2 linked regions of the Oryzias latipes genome follow. The protein of the gene in region 1 binds, or shares a complex with, the protein of each later gene. Links are inferred from orthologs where the notes say so. Each region holds a gene or a part of one and is shown on either strand. Other genes may lie near its edges.

Region 1 (2,304 bases):
GCTGCCGTCTCCGTGGTGCTGGGGTTCATCCGCGGAGCTTCGGTGCTGCTGGAGCAGGAGTTCCAGGCTACATTTGTCCAGGTGCTGCAGCACATCCTCACTCGCCAACGGTCTCTGGTCACATGACCGTGACGTTAGTCTGCCGTTTGCAGGACGGCGGCGAGCTGGCTCTTCGTCTCAGCGGAAATCCCGGCTATGTGGTCGGACGCCCTCTCCTGTCTGGAACGAAAACCGCAGAATATCCTTCCACAGAGAAGAAGAGACGGTTTCTTCACGCCTGTCTGCCGTTCTGCGCCTTGACCGCGTTCTCCACAGGGATCAGCAGAAGCACGGAGCTCAGAGATGCTCTGTCTCTGCTCCACAGCTCCGCCGAGCAGGACTGCCTGCGTGGTCCTCACCGGCGCTCCCCGGTCCTCTTCGGTGTGAACGCCGTGTCCGGCTGCACGCTGAGGCAAACGCGTCCCGCTCCCGTCAGCACGCCGTCTGTGGCCTTCAGGTCACCTCTGACCCTCTGACCTCTCTGATCTGCACAGGCTGGATGACGCAGCCAACTGCTCGCTGGTCCTTCAGCAGCTCCTGGACGTCCTCAGAGGACCAAACTACCCGCAGTACGTGGCTTCCTTTGGAAACTCCCCGCTGAACAAGCAGCTAGACTGGGTCTCCATCCAGAGCAGCTTCAGTCCTGTGGTGAGACCGCCGTGACCCCATCTTCTGCCGGGCGTCTCCGCTCCACAAACACTCCGGTTTGACTCGTCTCCGCCGTGACTGTGACTCACAGGAGGACCAAAGCTGCAGCCTCCCGCTCTCACTCCATCTAGAGATCGAATGGACCAAATATGGATCCCTGGAGAACCCCCAGGCCCAGATAGTGAGCATCCGGGAGATCATTCAGACCAACAGCAGCAGTTTGGTGAGACTTGAGGAGCCGCAGGTTCAGAATTCAGACTTTAGACTTAGAAAACACAGAACATTTAGGTTTGGGAATAAATTTAGATTATCCAAAGACAAAAGCGGCTAGGCTCCGCCTCCTCAGACACAAACGTCAGGACGAAGAATGATGCCTTAAAAGACGCCGTCTGCTCTCACAGCTTCATGCTAAATGATCACTTCCTGACCTTTTATCACACTTACTCCATCAGACTCATCATTTCAACAGACAGAAATCAAATCAAAGCGTTTGTCATCCGTCTGGGACGGTTGTTGAATGTCTTTGACTGAGACTGCGGCGGTTTTGTTACGGTGGACTCAAACCGTTTTAGATCGAGTTGAGATATTTGTTAGAAACAAAAAAACAAACATATTCTGGAGATGAGAGACAGGAAATTCTGCCCACAAACGAACTCTCCTGCAACTTTTATGTAACGTCTTGTCATAAAGCGACACGTTTGCGTCTCCAGGTGGGATGAACTCTAACCCTCTGCTTTCCGTCTTCCGCAGCCTCTGCTGAGCGGCGGCGGCGGCAGCCTGCCGGTCAGAAGCTCTGTGGCCTTCGTTCCAGTTTCTGCAGACGCACTTCCTGGTTACAGAGCCACGCCCACCATCGACGCCAAACTTCCCTTCAACTTCTTTTTCCCCTTTGTTTGAACAGACGCCTGCAGGCTTTGTGGTGTAATTTATGTAAATAAGATTTGATAAATTATTTTTTTCAATCAAAAGTCTTATTTAAACCTGTTTTTGTTTTTTAACCAAAAAAAAGGCAGAAAGGAGAAGTTCAAGTTATAAATCTTTAGGAGTTTTTAGTTCCAGAGACACAGAAATCTCACTTTTGGGGGGGGGGGGGGGGGGGGGGGGAGCTCAGGAAAAAGCTGACATGAACCCGAGTTAATCATCATACGAGAGCAGAGTTTGCATTAAAACTGACCACAAGCAGAGCTTCAAGCCTAAAAGTATTAGTATATATGAATAAAATAACGTTTGTGTCAGAAGCTCATGTGGTTATGAGACTGAAACTTGAATTTAATTATAAATACAGAACTGCCTTTTCCTTTTTCACTTTGTTTTTTTTTTAAGATTAAGTAACTGCAACTATAGAGTTCATAGCTGACATTATTTTATAAAAATAAGACACAATAAATGAAAAGTTAAAAATTTTACTGAGATAAAATGACTTATTTAATTAAAGATATTTCTAGTTAAGACAAGTCGGCCCACAAAAGATACATCCATCTTCAGAATTCACTGAATCCCTTTTAGGGTCACTGCGTTGCTGGAGCCTATCCCAGCTACTGACCAGGGCCACACATGCACACTTAGTGGCAATTTAGAGACACAAAATAATCTATGAAGCATGTTTTTGAACTGTGG
Region 2 (4,229 bases), about 2.9 Mb from region 1:
TGTTCGCCCACCTGGATGTCCAGGTGAACTCTCTGCGGCAAACAGACGGCGGTTAAAGCCGTGGGTGTGAAGGTAAAGGGGCGGAGCTTACGCCGACCGCCTCCTCACCAGCGTTCCTCCCACAAACAGGGAGAACTTGGAGGAGTTGGAGTGCAGGCAGATCTGGTGCTCTCCGGGCGTGTGCGACGTGAAGGTGAAGCGTCCCTCCGAGCCGTACTGCCGAGACAGGATCACCTGCAGGCGAGGGAGGAGCTTAGAGTCCACTCCACCAAAACCTCCACAGAAGACTAACAGCAGCAGCTCCAAGTCCTCCTCTGGATGTTTACGGAGGTCAGGACGCGGTTGCCGTGGTTACAGAGACCATCTAACGAAGAGACCTTCCTCAAAGTGAGCATCACGGCACTAACGTGTCAGGAGGACCTCCTCCGGCGCTTACCTTCTCGTCAGGATCCTTGACCTCCACAAACATGCCCAGACCCGGGCTGGCCGGCAGGTACTCCTCCTTCTGCTTGTCGTACAGCTGCGTGCGGTAGTTTCCTGCACACAAACACAAGCGCCCCACAGTCAGTGACAACATCCGGCTGAACGCAGCACTTCCGGTCCTTGGACGCGCTGGTCAGGACCGTTGGACCCGCTTTCCCGGTTCTGCAGGAACCTCAGGGAGCGACCGGTCCCAGACAGCTCCTTCAGAACGAACCATCATCAACTCTGGTCCGGACCTCCACCTGCTGGTTCCTCCTGGAGGAGCTGCCTGCCCATTCTCCAGGAGAACCGCTTGGGTTCCTGGTCTAGGTTCGGGGAACGGGCTGGATTCTTCAGGCGGTTTGGTTTGTTATCCGCGTGCTGATAGGATGAAGTTAGCTTAAACCGTCCTCCGTTCCCCGGTAAAAGACCGATCCTACATCCTCACCAACTTCTACTACGAGGTGTTCGCCAACGTCTCCGTTCATCAAACGGTTCACTAACTACTTCTGGCGGCGTTGGGAAACTTTTTGACGGCGAACCGGAACTTTGTGAGCGTTAGCCGCGCGGCAGCTAGCTTAGCCGCTCACCGATGATCATGGTCTCGTCCGGGATCTCCTCGATGAAACATTTCTTCTCGAGCTCTCCGATGTGGAAGTAGAGCGCGGGCGCGCGGCTGCAGAAGAGCGCGAGCAGCAGGAGCGCCAACACGCACGGCTGCATGCTGATCCGGACCGAACCGTCTTCCAGCCGGAACCACCGAGCTCAGACGGAGTCTGCGCGTCCGCAGCAGTGCCACGTAAACCCTGGCGCGCCTTCGACCAATCAGAGCGCTGCGATGGCAAGCTGGGTATTGTAGTTGTGTGCTGGGCAGAGCGGATGACATCAGAACCAGATTGTGAAGGTTCCTCCTCCTCCTGGAGTCACTGTGGGTTTTTTAATTCAACTTCAAAGGATTACACATTCATGTAACTACAATAGAAAGACATAACAAAAGAAAAAAAGAGTAAGATACAAGACAAATAAATAAATAACATTAGAACCGTAGTTCAGAGAACTAGGGATTGTCATTTAACATGTGATCTTCAATGAAAATTGACAGTTTTATTGCATTTAAAATATAAACAGATCTCTTTATGAAATGTATTGAATAATGATTTGATTTGTAAAAATCTGCCTTTTATAGATGAAAAATTTCCCAAAAATTAATAAAGTATTAAATGCCAAACTAAATAAGTTATCACCAGAAACGACTCCAAATAATACAATGTGTAATACAATGTGTTTTGTAACCAAATAGAAATAAGAAAATTTGAAGAGAACCACCAAAAGAAATCCTCCCAAAACCTGTTAGTATTTATACATTTAATAAACAGATGATCAAGTGTTTCTATGTTGATGTCGCAGAAAGAACAGTTATTTTCTTTAAATGAGGTCTCTGAGGGTCCAACAGGAAACAGCAACAGAAACCCGCATGTCACGTGATTTCAGACCATTGATGATAAAAGGTAACATCGACTAATTATGTATTTAGAGTGATTCAGTGGTGAAACTGAAGAACATCCATTAATAAAATAATGTGAAATTGTTTCAAATATTAGTGTCTTCTGTTTGCTCATCCTGACCAGCAGGGGGCAGCACGGAGCCCCGCCTGACGCTGTCCAGGGAAGAAGAGCCGTTTCCATAGCGACCACAGCGGCTCAAACATGGCGCCTGGTGAGTGTTTTCTTATCATCGTCGCAGAAAGAACGGCGCAAAAACCGCAGGCCGTCTTTCCCCGTCATTTTTCTGCAGCTATCAGAGACGGACGGAAACACTTCCGGTCCGCCGTTGATTTCCGGTTAGCGGCTAAAAACATTCCCACTCGGTGTTTACCTCTGAAACGTTCTTAAACCACCGTCTAAAGCTAAAGATAATCCGGTCCAACAACCGTCACGTCTCCTAAACGCTTCTTAAGCCTCACGTTCAGTTTCACTCTCAGTTTGACAACATTTTTGTCTCACCGCGTCTGCAGGGAGCCGACCAATCGTATCCTTCTGCTGTCAGAGGGGGCGGGGCCTGTCCACCAGCCGCAGTTGTCCTTGACCACGCCTCCTCAGCTGTCCTCCACGCCTCTGCAGGTGCTGCTCTACCTGAACAGCTGGTACTTTGCCGCTTTCTACCTGGCGGAGATCCTCATGTTCATCTACAAAGGTGTGTGGCCCCGCCCCCCTGCAGGTTCACCACGGCTTCACCTGAGAATGAAGCCGAAGGTGTCGTAGAACCTCCAGCCTGTCCTCTGTTCCTCTGCTGGACGTCATGGAGGAGCGTCTGACGGTTGCTGCTGGTGTCGCTGCAGGGATCCTGCTGCCGTACCCGTCTGACAATCTGGTCCTGGATGTGGTCCTGCTGCTCCTCTTCCTCGCTCTGGAGGCTCTGCGCATCTTTTACGGTGACGCCAAACACAAACATCTGCTTTGCTTTCTCCAGAACCGCAAGTGCGGCTGAGAGGTTCTGGAGAACAAAGATGGAACATGCAGGATGAAGAGGATGCAGACGGGCCTGACATTGGTGCTGGATGAGCTAACGTCAGAACAATCACGGTTCTATGCTAGCATGGAAGTGTCAGAAAGACCAAGAATGTGGTTTTCAGATTTAAAAAGGACTTCAGAGCATGAAAGGCATGCTGGGATGTGTAAACGATGATGATGCTGGAGATCAAAGCAGGAAGAAGCTTGGTTCCGTGTGTGAATGTGTGACCTTCATCGTTGTGTTCGGAGCTCCGCCTCTGAAGGTTCTGTTGAAGCGGAACCTTCGGTGCAGAACCTCTCCACGCCCGTCTGAGCGGTGGTCCAATGAGGAGAGAGCGTTCTCACTCTTCACCTGGACGGCCTCCCAGACGGAGGTGGAGGGTTCTCCTCCTGGGTTCCAGGGTTCTGTCTGTGGAAGTGACATGACCCCCCCCCCCCCCCCCCACGCCAGAATTTATATCCAGCTATGAAAAAATGATCAGTTGTGTTTTTGCTTTCAAGTTGAGGCTAAATGAAAGTCGGTTTGAGGAGGAGTGGTTCTTCCTTGCACCAGTGGGCATGAAGGGGTTAAAGCATCTCTGCAGACGTTTGCTGCCTGGAAACATCAGACTCAAACCTGCGGCGAAGCGTTCAGCCGCTCAGGCTCTGTGCTGGTTCTCAAGGCCGGCTGCAGGCGCTGACGCTGTCCCCCTGTGTCGATTCAGGCTGGAAGGGGAACCTGTGTGAGCGCTCCCTGACCTCCTGCCTGTCGCTCTTCATCCTGGTCTCTTGTGCGGCGCTCGCCGTCTACTACCTGCTGCTGCAGACCTTCGTTCTGCGGCTGGAGTTCCTGCTCTGCGCCGTCCTGCTCTGCTTCTACGGCCTGGAGTTCCTGCTGGGATTCATCGCCTTATCTTCCTTCTCCAGGTACCCTGAGCCCGCAGGCCGGTTCTGAGAGCCGGGAAGTCTTTGACCCTCGATGTTCTTGTGCAGGTCCAAGGTGTACTGAGGACAGAAGAGCGGTTCTCTGGAGCCCAGAGGGACACCAGGACAGTTGTTAGCATATGTGCCGCTGACACAAGTTTCTGTGATTCTTCAGGGATTTTTGTAAATAAACATTTTTCTGCAGCTTTGTGAGTTCTGTGTGTCACCAAAATCAGATGAAGCCGGCCACGGGCCACTAGAACCTCCACAGGTCTGAGTTTCAGCTGGAAAACCTTTGATCTGTGTTTGCATGAAGGCTGTCCGTCCTCTTTTCTTAGGAATCACGAGGCCGTC

The links.
Region 2: tctn1 (region 1) and transmembrane protein 216 share a complex: the UniProt entries of both Homo sapiens proteins name them as parts of the tectonic-like complex. The link is inferred for Oryzias latipes from reciprocal best matches to the Homo sapiens genes TCTN1 and TMEM216.

What each region holds. Positions count from the first base shown.
Region 1 is NC_019868.2:27,631,720-27,634,023, forward strand, and holds the end of tctn1 (tectonic-1), read left to right. Parts: coding exon 1-81; intron 82-152; coding exon 153-238; intron 239-313; coding exon 314-451; intron 452-533; coding exon 534-687; intron 688-778; coding exon 779-910; intron 911-1,437; coding exon 1,438-1,584; 3' UTR 1,585-1,791; downstream 1,792-2,304. UniProt on the Homo sapiens protein: Component of the tectonic-like complex, a complex localized at the transition zone of primary cilia and acting as a barrier that prevents diffusion of transmembrane proteins between the cilia and plasma membranes.
Region 2 is NC_019868.2:30,553,160-30,557,388, reverse strand, and holds transmembrane protein 216, read left to right. Parts: upstream 1-1,420; 5' UTR 1,421-1,970; exon of another isoform or gene 1,971-2,093; 5' UTR 2,094-2,168; coding exon 2,169-2,178; intron 2,179-2,476; coding exon 2,477-2,490; exon of another isoform or gene 2,491-2,561; coding exon 2,562-2,655; intron 2,656-2,679; exon of another isoform or gene 2,680-2,760; coding exon of another isoform or gene 2,761-2,800; coding exon 2,801-2,893; intron 2,894-3,676; coding exon 3,677-3,878; intron 3,879-3,944; coding exon 3,945-3,960; 3' UTR 3,961-4,080; downstream 4,081-4,229. Other genes in the region: transmembrane emp24 domain-containing protein 9, read right to left, coding at 1-32, 109-234, 437-537, 1,053-1,185. UniProt on the Homo sapiens protein: Part of the tectonic-like complex which is required for tissue-specific ciliogenesis and may regulate ciliary membrane composition.